Astyanax mexicanus: one gene and its partner. The protein of the gene in region 2 purifies or fractionates together with the protein of the main gene of each other region. This does not show direct contact. Links are inferred from orthologs where the notes say so. Each region holds a gene or a part of one and is shown on either strand. Other genes may lie near its edges.

Region 1 (10,962 bases), about 7.3 Mb from region 2:
ATGAGGCCGATCGTGATAGGGTCTTATTGCAAATGTTAGTGCACTCCCTTGCTCTGATTTAGCAATGTGGCAGATTGAAAAAGGAACCGTAATATGTCTAACTAGACCATAACAGAGCACAATGATACGGCAAAGCCTTAGTAACCATTTAGCCCTGTAATGCTTAAGAGAACGCAGTCGATGTAGCTTGCTGCACAACCTCCCAGTCCTAACCTGGTCCAACAGCAAGCACAGTGAGGAACTGACATCAACAAAACCAAGAAAAACACTCTAATTATAATCAACAATACTGTCCACACTACCCACAAGCACCAGACATGACAGTGATGGTGCCCTCTTTATATTTTTGGCGGGTCATATCACACCACGCTGATGTTCCACCTCATGAAAACGGGAACTGATCCACGAGGTGGAGAAAAGGAAGCTGTATGAACCACCCTCTAACACTTCCACACAAAAACTACAGTGTAATGTTTTGAACATACTGTCACTATCAAGCAAAAGCCTTTTAGCTCCAATTTTGATGGATCTTAAACCAGATGTTTATAAGCTCTCCCTGCCAGTCATACATGTGATATGAAACGCTTCGCGACACTATTGATGTTCAGGGGAGGGTGTTAATGACCCTAACGTCTTAAGTGTCAGATATTGATCTTAAAATAAAAATTACATACAGTTATAAACATGTATAAATCATATTTTTCTGACTATAAGCTGCACTTAAAATACTTTAACTTTCCCAAAAATAGTCAGTGCGCCTTATAATCCGGTGCACCTTATGTATGAATTTTACCAGTCAGGTTGTAAGGAAGTGTAAAGCCACTCCCCTAAAGTACAGCGTTATACAGGAGTTTCAGTTAAGTTCTCTAGCAGTATTAGCATTACCCGCTAAGCGCTACCCATTCGGGCATCCAGAGGTGAATATTATCGGCCTGTAGCCTTCCTCTAACCATGGCTAGAACTGCTGGAGCAGTATTAGCATTACCCACTAAGCGCTAGCCATTCAGGTGAGTATTATCAGCCTGTAGTCTTCTAGCATTACCAGCTAAGCGTTAAGTTGCAGCCCTAGTGTTGTGAAATGCCAAGATATTTAGATTTGTACAGATGTGTCTCAGACTGGTTGCTCTAAAACTTCAAATAACATTTTACCATGTCCTTTGCACCACTCAAAATGCCACATACAAAACCTCATCAAAAATGATAGAAGTGAGGGGGCCAAGAAGTGCACCAAAGGTTAGTAGATCACCAAAGGTTTAGTTCATTACCACAGCAACCCATACAGATACGTTAATGTAAAATATAGCGCGTTTAGATTTACATCACTCATGCACAGGAATCAGGCAGAGGAGGCAGAGGTTTTTGGAGCGGCGAGCAGGTAAATTTAACTCATAACAAATCAATAAAATGACCATCAATGTACCTTAATAACATAACGACAGCACTGTGTAGCGCTGATTATTATTAATACTGTCTAATATGTGTGGTTAGTTTATTACAATGGAGACAAGTTCTAGACTTAATACAGGCTTTATGTAATCAGTAAACTGTAAATCAGCACTGTGGAGTTTATAAATAAACACATGTAATGTCATTTAGTCTTAGTTATGTCAATTCATTAGATCTGAGTAGTGTAAAAGGTAAATAAAGATGCACAACATAAAGCAAATGTTTATTATTGATTAATGCTCTATATTTAATACTTACAAGAAATCCTAAGTTTAAATCATTTAACTTACTTTATTAAATTATTAAATTATTACTTGAGGTATTTATGTCTATTTTGTGTTTTATTTATTTATATTTGTGTTTGCAATGTGGAAATGTATGTTGTGAATTTAAAATTTAAACTAATTGGTCATTCATTATTAAGTGAAATTTCTTATTTTATGAAATCTCTTATTTTATGTTTTATCTGATTACTCGAATAATCGAATCGATTTTTCAGTAGAGTACTTGATTACTAAAATAATCGATTGCTGCAGCCCTATTCTGCACACAGCCAATATGCTGGATACACTCAATCTGATTTCATTTTATTCAAGCTGACATTGCCAGCCACTTATTTGTGGTTACAATGCCTGTAAAGCATTGTAGTGAACGATTTGTTCACTCAGAGGACAATAAAAGACGCTTTTTCTCACCTGAACGAACAGTGCAGTGTTCCCTTCTCTTCTTTTTGCCTCGAGCTTCACAAAATAATATATCAAGAAATGGAAACTGGCTTAGTTCAGCAATGCTGTCCCCAGAAATCCTGTCTCTTTGCTCCTGGATTGGAAAAAGCAATCATGCCATCGCTAAACCGCTGCCCGGGCCCCGGGCCTCTGGGGGCAGCCCCTTCGGCCTGCGGCCTCCAGCACCACCACAGAGAGAGATTCAGTCCAGAAAGAGCGAGCAAGGGTGGACAGTGGTGGCGTTTCCTACAGGTCTGCTGTCAGTTCATGATCTTATAGTGAAGGAAGCTTCTCCACATAGCACTTTTCTGAAGCATGGAAGCCGCCGTCTTCTTCGCATCGTAGCTGTGCACAAACTGACAACAAAGAAAACACATGATTATTACAAGACGTTTGTTATTACATAACTTGTCTAGTTTCATTTTTTAGAATTTGGTCCATTATAAGCCCAAACAAATTATGTTGAATGTACACCAGCGTTAGAAGTGTGTGATATGATACGGCAATAATATACAAAAAATATTGCAATATTTACATGAATAAATTACATTTTTACAATACACAATATAGATCACAATATTATGACAAGCAGACAAAGGGTATTTTCAGAGACTGTTCAGGTCCAAATTAAAATAGCAGGATAAGAGAATACAATCCCTTAGAGGATTCAAAATGCCAGGGCAAATAAATGATGAATAATTCTGACTGTCTCCCTATTGATGTACAGAGGAAACAAACTCTCTTCTGTAAACACTTAATTAACTGACAAGTAGTAGTGTGCCATATTATATTATATGCAATAATATCGGCAACATTTTTTAATATTGTGGACGATATTATACCCTAAAATATCGTGCCATATCATCCACGCCTAATTATCACATCAAAGTACTACATTTTTGCTGCTTTTAGCAAAAGAAAAATTCACACTGTTCTCATGTCCAATTATATATCTACTAGAGACAGATTACATCTGTCCAATATCATTTATTTTACTTTAATGCTGAATATATGGAGTGCATTATTAGTGACCTGACATTCTGGATTATTGACTTCTTTTTTTTTTTTTTAAATTGTGTTTTTTTTATATCTCAGTTAGGGGTGTGCCATATCATATCGTATACAATAACAGAATGTAATTAGTAGTGTACTGTTGATTTGTTTTTTTTTTTTGTTTGTTTGTTTTAGACTTCCCAAGTCTCCCGGAGGGTGCGTGAGTCTACATATATCAATAACAGCTCCCTGATGCCCGCAAATCAGATAAAATCTCCCGGAATCTAGAACAAGTGGCCCAAGAGTGAACACAAACGTGCACACAGGCGACACCGACTTTTTGTACCCAAATAAAAAAGAGGGAGAGGAAGAGAAAGGCGCTCCCTGTGTGCATATTCATGAAGCGTATGCAAAACAGAGAGGGTTTTGATTGGCCTGTTCTCTACAAAGAGTCAGCTGTAAATGACAATATTTTTATTTGGAATTGGGAGAAATGTTGTCTGTAAGTTTATAGAATAAAAAAAACAATGCTCATTTTATTTTAACATATACCTTTAAATTGCAAAATCAGAAACTGATTATTTTAAAGTGATCTAATTTTTTTTCCAATATACCTCCCTGAAATTAATTTTTGCAAATTGGGATGTCTGTTTTAATTTAGTGTTTTGTCATATTGCAAAGAGTATCCTTATCATGAAAATACCATGAAATGTTGTGATATATATTTAGGGCTATATCACTCTCCTTTACTAACAAGTAACCCAAGCATCTCTTTTTAAAGGGACTGTGACTAATGGGGGACACAGTCTTTACTAGAGCAGACTGGTTGTGTTTAAAAATTACATTAGTAGCTTAACTGTTACCGAACAATAATAACTAGAGAACTAACTACATACAGTAGCTTACCTCACATGTAGGTTCAGGACTGCTGCTGAGTCTTTCCAGCGTTTAGACCGTGTTCTTCAGAAAGCTGCTGTGGATATTAGATGGCATTCCCCGTGTAATAAACCGGTTTTAGATGTGAACTGTGTCGTATACTCCGGAATAGAAAGCAAAAAGAGCAGATTTGGTGCAGAAATCCATTTAAACTGTGGCTGAACAGTTAACCTAGCTGAGCTGGAGCTGAGTTAGAGAGGAGGGGGGCGATTTCCGCGAGTCTGATGGCTTCTTTTCCTGCTAAGTTTGCAGATTTTTTTCTGCACGTCTGAAAGAGTCAGTTCGCCCGAGCATAAGTTTTTTTTTATCGTTGTTTTCTTTTTCAGGTAAAAAGAGAGAGAACTAATTCTGTGTTTACACTTGCACCGAAAAAACGGGGTATAAACCGTTCCTGAAAAAAAACTAACGGCACTGTTAAGTTAGTTCGCTAGCTTAGTTAGGTTTACGGATTATGAGCTTTAAAAAAGATAAAATATGCTCATACACAAGTGCAGAAACCGCTTAAATGTTTACTAAACTAATACACGCTAACACTTCACCCAAAGATACGATATTATCGACCTAATATAGTGAGAGAAAAAAAGATAACACGTTAAGGATAGTAACGAAGCTCGATGGTCAAATCCGTTTTCCGTTGCTGTGTTTGTGTCTTCACACGACAGAACAGTGTAAAATAAGTGTTTCTCAGTCCAAAAATCCGAATATTTCATCATAAAATGAACGACTGAAGCTGCAGACACATCTCAACATCACGAGTTTATCAAAAAACCGCAAAGTCTGGAGTGAATCTTTTCTAACGCTGCGAGTTTCCTGACATGAAAAAAATCCAAATCGACACCAGAACCCAAAAACCTTTGATTCCTTCAAAACGACTGAAAAAGTTGTAAAAATAGAACTTATATCCAGCAGGAAATTCTACAGCAGTGTTTAAAAAATCCCCCTGTTTTTAAAAAATAGAAACCGCTTACTGTCCACTAACTTCCATCCATTTCATGCAGCTAAGCGAACACCACTGTCGCAGGGAGATTCGAGTCCTTAGGACAGACGAATCGGTTCTTTCGAACCATCGAGCCGATTCACGAGTCCGAACAGAATTGTGTGTTGTTAGGATATACCTTTTTTGTACTTTCTGGATCTGAAGAGACTGTATTTATAATTAATATATTTACCTATATACGCTTTTATGCAATAATTGGCATAGACTGAGGGCTGATCCAATGTTAGATAACGTAATGTAATAAATTTAATAAAATATAATTCTCACAAATGATTCTCACAAACTTTATTTTTTTGGGCTTAAGGAGCACCTAAGCAGGATTTTGCTCAAACATTGCTGAAAAAACATTTATTATAAACACAAATGCACAGTGGAGTCTATAAGGGGGGATAAATAGAGGTAGTTAACTTGAATCAATGAATCGACGTATCGACACTTGAATCGACCCCACTGTAAAATACTGTTAGGAAGAATCGGTTTGCCAAACTGAATCACGGCGTTAATACACTGTATGCGATTCTGTAATTGAACAGTGAGCAGGCGCAGAGAGCACAAGCTCGTGAAGAATTTATTTATGTGTTTATTAGTTTTTTTTGTTTCTTTATTTACCATAACAATAAAATTAAGAATTAAAATTCGAATATAATAACTAATGCAAATAAATAAAGCCCAAAAAGATAAATTCTGTTCCCCTCTGTCCTGAATCTTCTTGTTCTGGTAGGATCATGTATTTGTATAGTTTGCAATTAAATAATTAAATAAGACTGAATACTAGAAAGCACACATTTGCAGAGGCAAAAACTAAAACAAAAACAAAACAATTTGCATAACAATGGGGTGTGGTAACACTATGATTATTAATACTAAACATGGCATTGAATGGATACTTTAGACCAGTGTTTTTGAACCCTGATGATTTTATGATTTTGTAGCATTTAACAATCATTAACATCATTACATTTAAACCTGTATTTAAAACTGTGTGTGTTGGTTTACTGATGGGTTTGTATAGTAAATAAAATGCCTAAATTTGTATTCTAATCAGGGTGGCCACTATTTTCATTATTTTCATCACTACTGTAAAGAAACCTTAATATACACTCAACTGGCTATAACTAATGCACACCATACCCACTGTTTACACTTAAGGGCTGAAAAATTAAAAACCTATTTCTTGGGGAAAAGTTGGAATTCCCCTAACAGAGATCAGCTGAGAGAGATTTAGCTTTATCTGGACTCTCAGTATTGTAAATGAAAAGCGCCACGCCAGCGCCACTCACTGGCCAAACATGATTAACACATGTACAGATAAGTCTATCTGACCTATTGCCTCCTGGGGCCACAACTTAAAGTGACAGTTCGTATTATTTTGTTTCTACACTGAGAGCAGAAGCATTTCTGAACGGAGAAGGGACAAAATACTATGTTTAATGGTACCAGTGGGCTGGAATGACCATCCCTGCTAAGCCTAATATATTTATTCTAAAAGCTGGGATCTCGGGTCGCTTTTCGCAGGAGTCCTTCTGGTCACGCCAAGCGTCTTTACGTACTTACGTCACACATACAGCCTCTGAAAGAGGATCCGACTCTGTTTTACTGTATGTTCACACTACAGCAATGCCTCCCACTGTTCTCTATGAAGAGCGGCAGCAGCAGCAAAAATTTACTTTTTTAAGATATTTAGATAAAAGTATGACAGCGTAGACCAGGGGTGTCCAAACTACGGCCCACGGGCCATTTGCGGCCCGTTTCCTTTTTTGGAGCGGTATTTTAGAAATAGAATGAAAGTTGGCCCGCTGTTAAGTAGGTTTTTATAATGTGAGATTCAAAGTTTGAATGCTAGGTATCAGAAACGGGCCAAAGAGTCTAAATGCGAAGAGAGTGTTCAGTTGTAGCGCAGAAAACGGGCCAAAGAGTCTAAAAGCGGAGAGAGTGCTCAGTTGTAGCGCAAGAAAACGGGCCAAAGAGTCTAAAAGCGGAGAGAGTGCTCAGTTGTAGCGCAAGAAAACGGGCCAAAGAGTCTAAAAGCGGAGAGAGTGCTCAGTTGTAGCGCAGAAAAAGGGATAAAGAGTCTAAAAGCGGAGAAAGTGTGCAGTTATTGCGCAGAACCACGGGCAAAAGAGTCTAAAAGTTGCCGTAATTAAGGAGTTTAATATTAAGAGACATCATGAAATGAAACATCAAATCGTCGCTGCAGTGTGAACGTACCGTTACTAAATGCAGATTTCAGTAGGGGAAACTCAGACCCCAGTAGCTCATTTACTCAGCAAAAACAAAGAAGAATCCGTGCTAAAACCAGGATTAATATTGGCTGGCGTTATAATTATAATTGGACTGGCGTTTTAACGGTGGAGAGAGCTCAGTGACCTGAAAGGGTTTAAAAGGCAAAAGCTATTTCAGTTATTTGGCTTTTATTACTAGCTTCTAAAACGCTGTGGATTTTATTGCCTGTAACATTGTGTAGCTTTGTAGCTGGAGTATACGCTTAGCCGCGGGCTAGACAGGCTGTATACTCTCTCTCACATACACATACACAGTGAGTCTAACTCGCCCCCTATTGGCTACAGACCTTACCATAATTCTAAACGTACAAAATAAAGAACATTAACATTTGCCCTCAACTAATTATTGATTGCTCTTTCAATGATGTGTGTGTGTATGTAATATATGTATATATATATGTATATAAATGTGTATATATATATATATATATATATATATATATATATATATATATATATATATATATATATATATATATATATATATATATATATATATATATATATATATATATATATATATATCTTTTTTTTGTGTTCTAGCTAACTGTTTATTGGATGTAATTGCGCTCTACACTGTGCCATTATTTCACCTAAAATGTATAAAATATGCTTTATAACTTGGAAATATTGTTTCACACTGCAATTTATTAAGGGGTATGAATTGCAAGCCAATAATTATTGTTACAGGCCTAAAAACAATGGTATATATTTTTCATCTGTTTTAAAAGAATTGAAACACACAAGACCAAATGAACACCAGTAACTTCTTTATTTCTTTTCTCCAAAAGCGTGTACAAAAAATGAAAATTAAAAAAAGGGAAGAAAGGAAACACAAAAGACTGGAAGGGTGGGGAGGGTAAAGGTGTGGATTTGAAGGGAGTAAGGAAAAGACATCACATTTTGGTTGTCTGGGATCTCTGGGTTTAACAGAGTGCTGTGGAGGAAGGGGCTGAAAGACTCCAGAGTGGGAATGAAAGATTCAAAGTAAAAGCGCCACCTTAAAAAGCCAAAAACATCCTGCTGTTTTAAGGCCACCAGATTCACTCCACTGATCAAGTTTCGACAGAGAATAATCCACTTGGTTTAAACACGCATCTCTCTCTCAGCTCACTCAACCCATGCTGACGGTCTACTACTTTACAAAATAAGAGTTTTATTCAAATCTGTCCTACCTTAAACAATCCAATCTTACAGCTACTGAACATCCACATATACACACACACTTTACGATTACGTTCAGGCAGAGACAGGACATTTGTACGCTTTCCCCCCCCCCATTTTTGATGATTATTAAAATGAAAAGACTCACACACACAATCTTTAGACAGGATATGGTGTAGGTTTGTACCTTGGCCCACATATCTGAGGAGCATTGATGTAAACACAGTGATTTGTGCCAGTGAGGAACAAACTAACAAAAAAATAAAAATTTAACATGGGAAAAAAATGCAGACTTTAAATTTACAGAGAAAAAAAACAAAGTAATCTGAACAGTCCAGGAAGTAGACAATAGTTCTGGGCTCAAATACAAACCCAAACTGTACAAATTCTCCTTTCTCTAAGAACCTGAAATGGATGTGTGTTTTATTAACAATAATAAGAATAATAATGTTTTTATTCTACGGCTTGGTAAGAAAATATTGTTCTGGCTCATGTTAAGAGCGTATGATTATTCGAAACCTCACAGCGCATTCAATTTCACAGTAATCTCCAACATTTAGAACAACAGGAAGGGCTTCTGTGGTAATCAGGTTACAAATGATGACATTTGTTCCATCTCTCATGCTTTCTTAATGGACTCAGAAAGTGAATAGTAAATAAAGTGAAAAGTAAATAAAGTAAATAATTTGGCCCAAAAAAATTTAAAAAGAAAAAAAAAAAAAATCTAATTTACAATGTAGATACAAGACGTCGAACAAAAAATTAAGAATCACTGAATTTTTAAACTACAGAAGCCAATTTCTGTCTCAGCTGATTAACTACAATTGAGTTAAGGATGTTAAAACTGATCAAACTCAATTTTAGCAAAGTCAAACTGCTCTAAAACACTGGACCACTTTGTTTAGTAGCCAAAGTAATAGAAGTAATGGTATGAGTATAAGAAGTCGAAGATTCACAAAAAAAAAAAAAAAGAAATTGATTTTGGATGACTATGGACTACATAAATCATGTTAGCAAAGTTAGCCTTGTACCTTTTTATTGTTTGTCATTAAAAATGACAATAATATTGTTTCTCAATAATTTCTAGGATGATACATCATGACAGGCCTAGTGTTTTGGCTCAAAAGTAAAAGAGCAAAACTGTACTAACTCGATTTCTGCCAAACAGCTACTTTAACTTTTGAGGCGCTGACAAAAAAAATAAACCTACACAAAAATGTGCTCCCTTACCATAAATGTAGCAGACAGATTTTTTTTGAGCAACAAAAGTAATAAAATAAAATGTGGTAATAAATTACAAGAAGTAAAAAGACTAAATTTTGGATAATTCAAAAATAATTCAATTTTGGATGACTATAAACTTATTACATAACATTTTACAGCAAGATTAGCCTTGTAACTCCATTATAAAACCAATTCAGCCAATTTAAAATATAAATGGGTCTCAACAAAGAAAATAAAAGAAAGTATAGGTTTTTTTATGTGTTAAACTGTCAACTGTGCTGCACCTTCTCCCAACACCAGATGGAGCACTAACCACCTCAATCTCTAGCTCCAGTGCCCCTGTTAAAGCAGAGGGCCAAACACTGCAAACTCACAGAGCTGCTTGAAACAAAGCCAAGTTTGAGCCTCCATTTCAGCACTGAATGATGTGGCTAGATCTGTTCTGAGAGAATGTATATTAAAACACATGATTCAATACAGAATACAACAGCAGATCCGAACACAGATATATTCTCAAATCAAAGAGCTGTTTAAGTGACTGAAAAAAGAAGAATGTGAAAGACTAGATAGACTAGAAGGCCTTCAAATTGTATCCAGTACAGTTTGTAGATTTCCTTACTCAAAAACACCTGCCTAAATGAATAATTCAAATCATGCAGGACACTGTGCTGCCCTCCAGGTCTGGATTTTTTGGAACGTCACACATTATCTACTGACTGAGGAGGTCACAGAACACAGAACACATCACAGTGCATCACCTGCACACAGGACCACTGAAAGCAGTTTTACCTGGCAGTCCACAATTTTTGAGCTCAGAAGCTTAAATTACCATGATATAATATCATATAATATATGTGCATTTTTACGAGTAAACTCATGGCCCTTACGCATTCAGTTTAATTAGAGTGAAAAGTAAGGAAATGTGTGTTTAGTTCAATTTTCTTTCTGTCAATGCTTTTTGGCAATAAATCTTACACCATTGAAAAGTCTGTAATTTACCTTTTAAATTCTCCTTTTAAATATACAAAGTCAGCTTTTGCAAAAAGGGATTTTATTTATTCTTTTTTTGTACGAAATGAGCTAAAATTTGAACATGTGCAAGTTCAAGTTAACAGAGATTTTATTAGAAAAATAAAAAATTAAATGTGCTTAAAATTAATTTAAATAGTTGTTAATATTCAAATTTCCAACAAAA
Region 2 (11,391 bases):
TAGGAGTGGTGAAGGGATACATGCAGGGTGCGCAGCAAAACTAGCCTCCAAAAGAAAATTCATTTGTTTACACTGTCCAAATACAAACTTAGAAGAGACACTTAGGTAGGTTTGGCTAGCAATTAAAATGTCTACACTTGTGTTATTGTCATAGACTGTGACGCATGGTTCCATTTCATCTGGATACTTTTGGAAGTGTAGTGTATTTTCTGTAGGCCACTGAAAAGCTAAGATGTGGTTTAAGTTTAAGGTGCTGCTGGACAAGAATAAACCTAAAATCGTACATATAGGTCGGTGCATTCATGTAGGTCAGTACTGATGTGTTTGAATAAACCTTTTTGGGGTTTTTTTTGGCTTTTTAGGGTGTTGAATGAGAATAGTCTTAAGTCATGCCTGTGTGCACATAAATAAGTCCATGTGGTAGATGGTCACTACTGGTCACTGATAAATGTGTTAAGCATTATTTCATTAGGTTTTACCTACCATAAGGAACCAGTATTTTAGTGAGTGCTTCCTTAGCTGTAAAATATATGTAAATGTACAGAGCCTCTTTTAAAGTTCTAAGAACCTAAAATAAGGTTCTTTACCAAATAAAGGTAAGTTAGCTTATGGACAGGAACCCTAATTTATTTCTAAAGAGTTTTGGTAATGTACACATTTGGTAAATGAACTGGGTTTATAAGAATCTCTATTTGGCCTGTGAACGTGGTAAATTACAGTGTGTGATTATGTGCACGATAATAAATTCACACAATTTAGCATGATTTATGAGTACATGTTAACGCTAACTAACCTGGAAAAAATATATTTCCAGCATGTAATTAGGACGGTTAGGATAGGTTATGCTGGCTAATAAGCATGAACTGCTTCAGACCTGTCACTAAACTGAACTCAGTGCAGATTTAAGTGTTAAGAAGTATTTATAAGGATAAAGTCGTGAAGATAATTTGATATAATACATTTAGCTATTGAGAACTTTCACCGTTTTGTCTCGCGTGATGCAGGGCGAACCAGCCTGACCTGTGTGTGTGTGTGTGTGTGTGTGTGTGTGCGTGTGTGAAACACCCTGCGCTGCTGCATTTTGTGTAACCTAGTAAACTAAAGCAGAAACGAAGCCTAGCTGGCTTAGCTAACCTAGCGTTAACTAACGTTACCTGTCGCTAGCTATTAATCAATGATCCCATCGATCAAAAAAATGGGGGGTCGGCTGAGGTAAACGGCAGTTTTATATAACAGCATCATTTCGAGGCTGACGGGGGAGGTAAAAATAGATTTTTGGAACTGTTTTTGAAACAGAAAAAAATCCAAGTCACAAACTGTCTGTATGTACGTTATATGTGTGTCTGATGCAGTATATATTGTGGTTATATTGCCTGTTTAGGTGTATTTTGGTGTGTGATATTGTGTCTATATGGTGGTGTCTGGTGCTGTCTCTCTTACCTTCAGCTGATGAGGAGATGCTCTTCCCGGTTCCTTATTTGGCGATATGTGTAAATCCAAGTCCCCAACTGCACATATATACCAGTCTGCTGCAGCACTGGGGTCCTTCAGTCAGTTGATAAGAACAGTAAATATAGTGATAAACGGTGTGGATACGGATCTATTCTCTGCTGGTTCTGAGGGGAGGGAAGCGCTAACGGCCAACCGCTGCTGCAGTGGCGGCAAAAAAATGGGGAAAATGATGCTAAGCTAAAAGTTGAAGCGATGCTGAATGGACGAAAGAGGCTGGGGAAAGTGGCCGCGGAAAGCGACAGCGAGCTGTTAAAGCGAGTTAGAGTGAGAGGAAGTGAGGCGCGGAGAAGCTCTCGGGAGGGTTATGAGGTCCACACACTTTTATATCTAATGCTTTCGACAAAAGGACGATATAAAGTGGGTCTCATGTAACTGACCGCACTGTTACTCGCTTTCCCACCCGATTTTATGAACATCCCGCCTCCGCACGACTACGATTGGGTGGTGTTATCCCGTCCCCGCGCTGGGATTGGCTACTACCTTATATTCGGAAGCCGTCTGCCTATCAGGGAAGACAACCTGCTAGCCAATCCGCACAGGAGGAGGGGAGTGCCATAAAACGGGTGGAAAGTTAGTAGCAAGATTTTTTTTCTCTTCAGTATTTGCCAAGTTTAGAATCTCTATAAGAACTAAGGCCACTGAATTTTTTTTTGCATCAGCAGGTCTTTTACCCACTATTTATGCCCTAATATGGACAAATTCCTCTTCAGTATGACACTGTGTGCTGTTTGGAGAGGTTTAAACACAGTCTTTGCCACAAACTGCGAGACTTTTTAGAACAAGAGCAGAGCAAACACAACAGAAAAACACTATTTTGAGTCATATGAGTATAAAATTATACATGTATATTTATACATGTATGTTCTCTGCATTGCTGTTTGTTTGTATTTTGCTGACTATTATTGGACTGGAGTATTACTACTTCTACAATCTTTAGCAACTCAAAGGGGTCACATCCAGTATGGTTGTCTTTAAGAAGGCCTATCCTCAGCTCTTTTTATCTGAAGGCTTAGCAGACTGGGCACTAAAAACGCTAAAAATACCCTGTCATTAAGTCATATGTAGCTCTGGTAATGTATGATGTGTTGGTTATGATATAGTGGAGGTCCATTATGGAGAGAGAATGTGAAGTTAGGCCATTAGATGATAAAGTGGACATCTGTCGTGTGTCTGTTTGGGCTCCCAGCCAAACCTCCTCCACTATCACACCTCACACAGTTGCATTAGGAGGTGTGAGATGAGACAGACACACAGCTAAACATGTGTGTCAGCGCCATCTCTTTCCATTGAGACTGTAGCTGAATTGAAACAAAAATGCCAGACAGGTGCCTAAGCACAAAGCTTTTGTGGTTAACACTGTTTTATGATATATAATCATATTTTATAGTACAGGTATTTGAAAATAGTTAATAACATAATTAGTATTATCATTAATATAGTAGGGCTGTTTAAATTTAAGAAAATTGTCCCTAAAAAACTATATGGATATTTCAGACAGTTTTCTTAAAATATCTATTTAGAGAGAGTCAGTAGAAGGTCTAAAGCCAAATCACATTTGATATCTTGATATAGTATAACAGAGGATGCTAAGATGCTAAGAATGCTGCTAACAAACACTGGGTTTAGTCTGTCACCAACTGAGATTGGGATGTGAAAACTATATGTATGTGGTCCAGGGTTAGGTGTGGATTGCACATAATTGTGCAAGGATGGGGCGAGGGTTTGGACAAGGCCTCTATAAGACCTAGGATTAGAAAAGGCATTGTGCCTAAATATGGCTTGGGATTGTTTTTTAATGTGGCCTGGAATTGATGTCTTTGGTACCTAGGATTGGGCCTGGATGTGGCCTCTTTGTGAGCCTGGATGTGGGCTGGCACAGGATTAGCCAGGATTGGGTTGTATTGACATGCCTGCCGAGAATTGTGAAATTATCTTTCTTTTCTAATTTTAATGTGTAAATATTCTAAGATTATTTACTTATAAACATAAACAGTAGTTGTATTGTGTATTATGTCACATGGACTCAACATAGATTGAACTGCATTTCTACTTTTACGTATTGAGGCTGCAGTTTTTCTTTTTTTTGTCCTTCAGAAGCCAGAATGCACTGAATACAGCTGACAGCCTTACCCTGTGTCTTATGTGCAGGATTTGACGTACGTTTGTTCCATTAGACGCTTCAAGAGCTGAGGGGTAAAAGCACTTAAGGGCAACTTGAGTGCTGCAGTGTCGTGAACAGGAATAAAAATCATGCTCCTATTCAGTGGAAGTACTCAATTAGATCAGCTAAAGGCTTTCTGCCTTCTGTGTTAAGCAGGTGAAGCATTCATTTCCAGCCTTATATATATTTCTATACCTCCAAGCGATCACCAGATCCCATTCTGGGAACCACTGAGCAAAGGCAGACAGTTGACGTGTTCCATTGTTCAGATTCTTCTGGCTTTATAAGTCACAGAAATGTTGGACCCTTCAAAGACTCCACCCCAGCAGCAAACATTCTCCAGTCCCCATCCATTAAAGCTGTTCCCCCTCCAGCATGAGCATCTCCTGCTCTCACACATTCACGCTTGTTGTAACACTACAGAAACCATGTGAAGGAGATTGGATTGGCTCTCCCAGTAGCTCTCAGTTCTGACCCACATCTCAGCAGGAGTGTTTAATTAATGCAGAGTCATGTGATGCTTAATTTCTGCAGCATGTAAGAGTAGCATTAATCCTGCATTTGTCATGAGCTTCAAATAAATGTTAAACTGGTTCTTTTAAAAAGATATTTAAGCGCTGAATACAATCTGCACACACAATAACAGATCAGGCCTCTGGTTTTCCTAATGCAGTGTGTATCATTAATTTACAGTGTCAGTCTTAGTATAGCAGAGCCTTTGTTTCTTTGAACATATTTAAACATTTAGACCTGTCAGTATCGGTATAATTTATAACAATTTATAAAGAGTGAGATCTGACACATTTGTCCAACACACTAAGACAAATTAAATACAGATTTGTACTTAAAAGAGTACAAAGCTTGTTGCGGTGCTGTACCTTATTTTGAGGTAGAACATTCAGTGAAAGTCTTTGTGCACTCATGTTTTTGTACCAATAAAAATGATAAAGAATATAAACATTATCTTCAACTGAGTATGTGTCAAGAACTTCATGACCCAAAATTATCTGGCATTTTAAAATGAAAAATGTATAATAAAAATGTATATTGTTTATTAGTACAGTGATACAGAATACCGAAAGACTCATGGGCACTTCTCCTTGATGGAAACAAAGTGAGAAAGTGGAAATAGGTGCTGTAGGCAAGAAGCCATGCGGAGGAAATGAGCTATCTGCAAGTACGTTCTTGAGGGTGCACAGGGTAGCTTTATCACACTTTTTGCTTAACAGTGGAAGAGATAGTGATTGGAAGCTGATAATCCTGCAGCAACATTTTTGTACCCTTTCCATTTTATTTAAGTTATTTGTCCACTTCAGATTGACCTAGCATACTCAAGAATTGGATAAATAAGTGTTGTGTATATGTATTGTAGATACATAGATAGATAGATACTTTATTGATCCCCGAGGGGAAATTCTAGACCAGATCCCCCAAGAAGGACCACCACCATCACTCCCACATACTGACCCCAAAACCCAAAAGTTCAGAGCAGCATGAGAGCAACGGGTACATCTGGTTTCTCCCAAACGCTAGACATCACATGATGACATCACTGATTCTTTTGGCATTACTAAGACTTGTATGCTTTGTCTTGTCTTTAAGATCATTTGATAGGACATCTTACATTTATTACTACTAAAATTAGATTAAAATGCAGCACATTAGCTGCAGATGATCAGACCATGATCAGAGAGGGCAATATTTCGGTTGAGGTGAGCAGTTTAACCATAGTCACATCCGAACAGCCCTCTGAGGCCTTAAGAAAGAAAGTTTTAGATGCAGATGAATCTGGCAGTATATTTACAAAGATCTCAAAACAATTAAAAATCACTCTTTCCACTATCCCCTAAATCATTTCCAGGTAAAATTGCTAATAAAATGGCCAGGGCATGGCATCCGAGCTGCTCAAGAACAGACCCCCCAAGTTGCGTAAAAAAAAATCTCAAAGAAACCAAACATTTAATCACAAGACCCACAGATAGCTCTCACCTAAGTCAGTGTTAAAGGGCAGCATCTACTATCAGAAATAAGCCAAAAAGTCATGTGAGAAACTTTGCTGCCCAAAAAAATAACACATTGGCATATTAACATAAGGCACGATAGGTGCAAACCTAGCACAGCATTTAAGCACAAGAACCAAAGACCAAGTCTTTGCATGGAAGTGGAAACATCATTGTTTGCTGCTGCTTTGCTGCAAGGAGGGCCTGGCAAATTCCATATTTTTTATTTTTTTAGCCGGCATGTACATATTTCGTTAAAAAACAGACTTAATCATTTTTTATTTACATACAGTAAGTTATATAACATAACCATAAACAAACTCTCCAGTAATTAAACGAGAAAAGAACACGTATGCTTTGATCGAACAGCGCCCTCCTCCGACTGGACCTCCACAAAATGTATGAAAACACATTTAACAGGGATGTTTAACTTATTCCACTAAACAACACATTTAATACAAAAAAAAACACAATTTCTTTCACAGATTCATCTGTTCAAAGGACAGAAATGCAGTTAATAATAAAATTGTTGATACAAGATGACAATATTTTCGTTCACTTATTCAAATGATACATTTTAAATATCTACATACTACATACTACATAATATTTATTTCACCTTAAGAAACGCAACCTCGGACTATTCAGTCTTGCATATTTAGAAACATAGCGCGATGTTGAACTGTGGGAGTTGTATTCCATTTTCTGCTCGCATCTGCAACACCTTATACGGTTACACAGCTTACTTACTACATTTCCCAGAATCCTTCGCGCGTGGTTGCGAAAACGTTAGAGAAAATGAAGAATTTCTCCGCAGAGTTCGCTTACAGGTGAGAATCTTTAGTTTTGTGGTAAATGTAGTGGTAAATACTTGTATAGAAGATAAAAACGGAAGAATGTTAGAGTAAACGTCGTTTTAATGCGCAAATGTGTGAGAGAACGGAGTGATGGCGAAAAGTTCCCCCGCGTTTGGAAAGAAGCCTCTCACGAGCTGCTGTTAGCTTAGCCTAGTTAGTGGCGAGCTGTAGCAAAAACACACGTTTATACAAAAACAGCAAAAACAGATTACGGGGTGGGTTTAGTTTATAAGTTGTGCTTGTAGTCGATCTTTTCACGCTGCTGTCGGTTTGACTGGAAGAATATTTACGCATATCTGACAGTTGGAATCGCGTAGCTTAGCTTAGCCAGTGCTAACGCAGAAAATAGATTTATATTCTGATCTTAGTTTTGGGTTGTTTTAACCCGGATTATTAAAATTGAGACTGGAGACCGACAGTCCGTCTCTTTCATATAAAGCGCCAGACTGTTATTTTCTTTAGGTAACGTTACTTATAAAAGGTTGACTTTTTGTTTGACAATGAGAAACTTTAGCCTGAATTGTAGCTACGTTAGCTGAGTGGTGTTCAGATGTGTTGTGTTTATGCTCTTACAGCCCTCTCTGTATGACTTTTTTGGATAATTCAGGTTTACTTCAGTAGCTAAATTAGATGTCTATAGCTAATGTATGTGTAATAAAGGTGGTTTCATTGCGACCTTCCAGCTGATAGAAACACACTTTAACTATATTTATTTTCCATTATAAATCAGGAAGAAACATAATTGATAGCTGGTTCAATTGGATGTACTTTAAGGTGTTATTGCAAATGTGTATCATGTAGTTTCAATAGGTTCCTTCATGATTTGCTGAGGTGCTTTTTTCCCTGATTTGGAAAAACGCTTCACAAATCCATCTGAAAGGAATTTCACCAGTGTCACAGTCAGAGTGGGGTTTGGAGTGAAATTAGGCCTCCTGACCTATAATGTTAGTGGATTTTTTTACAGTGGTGAAACGTGGAACCAGGCTTCACCAGGGCTACCACACAAATATAGCAGTTTTGTCTACTTTTCAAACCCACCAGTGAAACTACACTTGTCTTCTGAGTTTTATATGGATGTTGATGATTGTTAAATGTGGGAAAATATTTTCTTCAGTAAAATGCAAGGGACTGCTTTTGTTTTCACTATAATAATGTTATAACAATATAAATAAATATACAATATTAAAGACATGTATTAGACCAAGATCTCATGTATCAGGCAATGTTATTCATTTAATAACAATCTAGGAGGGAGCTTTTAGAGGTTTAGAGGCTTGGTTCCATTACCTGCCACTGCAAACAGTTATGACTGGGTAAGTTTCTCTAGAAGGGAGTGTTTTACACCAAACCCACTCCGAAGGATTTTAGTCACATTGTTTTCATTGAATCATTTAAATATAAAGGGTATTTTTCTGGGTAATGCTGATATGTGTGTGGAGATCTCATGTTCAGAAATTTTCTTTGTTTTTCCCCTCATAAAATTATTTATTTGTTTATTTATTTATTTCAGCATCTTTTATGCCTTAGAATTAGGCAGACTAAAAGAGTCCTGTTCTTGTTTATGCTCTGTGAAAATGAGCTCAGGCTAAAACTGTCTTAATAATGTTAGCAGGAATTGGTCTGGCTAAAGTGCTGTAGACTTAATAGATAGGCTTGTAAACTTGTGTATTAAAATCAGGTTGTTTTGCAGCATTATGTTAAATATACATATATTAAATAAAGTGTTTACATACTGTGTATAGCAGGATATGTTACACTCAATTTACACCTTCAGGATTAAATAATTCTCACTTTTTTCGGGTGTGTTGTTTGTGAGAAACTGATTAGTTCCTTGTGTTATATAATTATTTCTGTGGTTTCCTTCATTCTGGTTTGAGTAGTGCTGGCAACACCGCACCTTAGGATGAGCTGTTTGAAGCGTGTTGTTTAGTGTTTGATTACTGGAAACTACTGCTCTGTCTGGCCTCCTGAACCTCAGCCAGCTGAGTCACAGTCGCTCTAATCCATCTTATATTTGCACTTCACCCAAATCTGTTACCTAAATCTGTACAGTCGAGCATTACCACATCTCTCAGTGGCTGTAGACTGTTAGGTCTGCACATTAATTTATTATTTACTCCAATCATTTTTTTTGCATAGATTTCTCATCTAACCTGTCCAAGATATAAGCAATGAACTGTGTTATACCAAAGGCACCACCACAACTCTATCAAAGATAGTACTCACGTAGCAACATCCTATCAACCATGGCGATATGGAGAAAAAAAAAGAAGATCTTATCAGGATATAGTTTTCCATGTCAGTGGATATGGATATTTATCATGATATAAATCAAATCACTTTCTGTCACACTTAAATGTTATTTTTACCCATAAGTAAGAGAATATAAATAAAAATATAAAACTTAAATCCTGTATATTCAAAAGGTCAAATGTTACAGAATAACGAAGTAAACTAACTGTAAACTAAATTCTGTTTTGTTGAAATTCTGGTCAGTTCCAAATAAATAAATGCTTATTAGCATCATATTTAAGCATCCGGCAGAACGCGTTAAAAGAATGGCCAAGAAAGGCGTTTAATGTAGCTATATTGCTAGAACTTACAATGATTGCTGTTGGCACTCTCACCACCATACACACACACACACAGAGCATGAGCACAGAGCACTCACTATCTCACTCACTCACTTACTATCTCACTCACTTACTATCTCACTCACAAACTCTATTCAAGCTACATGATTGGTTCAGCGTGGCGCTAATCCTATTCTCATTAGCTGTTTCCATTGTCTGTCTGAAACGTCCCCGGAACGAGTCATGACAAAGTTTTATTGACTTTTTTTTCCCCCCGAAGTTTTATTACATTACTATTAAGGGAAAGTTATTTTGCAATAATTATCATTATCATTTTATTGCACAGCACTACTATTAACCATGTATGAGACCATCACAACCACCTAGCAGGCCTATAAGTGTAATCTGGGACAGTGAGATGGCTTAGCAACACCCAATTAGAAATGTGGTGATGTCGCATCAAAGTAGCCAATTAGCAATGCTCAGCCACCATGCACGGTACCAATTAATTTAGCACTTTACAGTATTAAAAAATTAAATAATGTGAAAAGTGAGTGTATCTGACTGTATGAGGTGGGAGTATCTTTACAGTGTTTAATGCTGTATTCTGTTTGCAGGCTGTGAAGGCCCTACTCTACATGGCTTTGATGGATTATGAACTCCGGTAAAGCGTGCTACAACCGTTTTTCAGGAGGATTGCCCATTGATGCCACTGTTAGTAGTTTATCTGATGTCAGTAACTGGGTGAGAAACACAGCGCTGTTCACGTCAGTAACGAATACAGTGGAGGTGTGAATTTATGGTACTTTTTAGAAAAAAAAAAGCGTATTATTAAGTAAGACCATAAGTTATTTTAATCACACCAATGTCTGACTGTTTGTGATGCTTCATGCAGACCAGAATGGAATCTACTTTTGGACCCACGTTTTCTGCAGTCGCTCCAGTCAGCAAAGGTAAACACAAGCTGCTTGGCACTGTATTTATATTTCTGTGAATATGGAAACAGATGATCTGCTAGGTCTGCATTGTAAAAATGAAACACTGGCTCAGCTTGTTATAGCTTATTTAGGTGATTGATTATCTTTACATCAACAGCAACATATTAGAAATTGTTGCATGTAGATAACTTGAACTTATAAAACAGTAGTGGAGATTGACCCAGTTCTACCATTGATCAGCCTGAACGCCCTCGGGCTGTGCAGTGAGATTGATCCATTGTAATAACCATGTTGTGAAATTTCAGCCGAGACGACCGGTAATTACAAACAGCACCGCAGGACCCCTTCGTCCTCCAGCACCCTGACCTACTCTCCACGGGACGACGATGATGGCATGGTAATCACAGTCCAGCTCTGCTGGAGTCCACTTCTTAACACTGCCTATTACTTTAACAGCGTGCCTGTTTACCAGAACCAGATGAAGCCAAAGACTATGCTTTGAAGAGTTTTTGGTGATGAATCAACACTGGTTATAAAATTTAACATACAGAGTCAGTTTAAATGTCTAAATGTATAAGATATCCTTACAAAACAACAGACACTTAACATCTGTGGTGTGAGTTGGAGTGATTCCTTTTAAGATGTTTTAAAGTGCTGAAGTACTTTTGGATGATTTTTGTATGTACTTTATTTTCAAACCTGATCAAAATTACATACCAGCACTGAGGTTTTTTGTGGCTGAGTGCAGTCAAATACTGCTCAAAACATTTAGCGTAAAGCTTGTAATTTTAGATTTCAGGTGCAGTTCAGGAGGAACTTGAAAATATCAGGTCTCTGGATGCAGTTGGCCATTTAGAGACAATTTCCTAAATGTAAATTTTAAAGTAAATTAATAAAAAAGTAAATACAAGAAGAAGGTTCTATGTTCTGGACTATTGCAGATTTCTGTGTGGTTTGTAATGGAACAATGACAGATTATGATCTGGGCAATAAATTGTTTCTTTATCGGTCAATAATCTGAATTTGATAGTGAGTTCTGTAGCCTGACACTGATACAGATATACAGTATACAGTACATTGCTCTGCTCTGCTCACACTGTGTGTTCAGCAGAACAGGTGAAAAAGCATGTTCAGTCCATATGCTGCAGTGCAGTGGGCATTCGTTAGTTCTGCTGATGAATTGCTTTTCTGTTTTTATCGTTCTCTGATTACTGCTGAGGTCTGGCTCTACCTGAGAGACCAGCAGGCTGTCCTCTTCTATCCAGCCAGCTGCAGTGTCCAGATCTTACTGCTTCCTGGCTGAGGACATATTTTTTAATAATTATGTGAACAGAGGAATTCAGGAATTAT

What was found.
Region 1: the proteins of traf7 (region 2) and map3k3 purify together in Homo sapiens (affinity purification with mass spectrometry; 5 studies listed by BioGRID and IntAct, with this or other methods). This does not show direct contact. The link is inferred for Astyanax mexicanus from reciprocal best matches to the Homo sapiens genes TRAF7 and MAP3K3.

The regions. Positions count from the first base shown.
Region 1 is NC_064426.1:21,050,727-21,061,688, reverse strand, and holds the start of map3k3 (mitogen-activated protein kinase kinase kinase 3), read right to left. Parts: upstream 5,151-10,962; 5' UTR 4,071-5,150; intron 2,528-4,070; 5' UTR 2,142-2,527; intron 1-2,141. UniProt on the Homo sapiens protein: Component of a protein kinase signal transduction cascade. Mediates activation of the NF-kappa-B, AP1 and DDIT3 transcriptional regulators.
Region 2 is NC_064426.1:13,727,814-13,739,204, forward strand, and holds the start of traf7 (E3 ubiquitin-protein ligase TRAF7), read left to right. Parts: upstream 1-6,362; 5' UTR 6,363-6,503; intron 6,504-9,720; 5' UTR 9,721-9,757; coding exon 9,758-9,892; intron 9,893-9,998; coding exon 9,999-10,056; intron 10,057-10,346; coding exon 10,347-10,438; intron 10,439-11,391. UniProt on the Homo sapiens protein: E3 ubiquitin and SUMO-protein ligase that plays a role in different biological processes such as innate immunity, inflammation or apoptosis. Potentiates MAP3K3-mediated activation of JUN/AP1 and DDIT3 transcriptional regulators.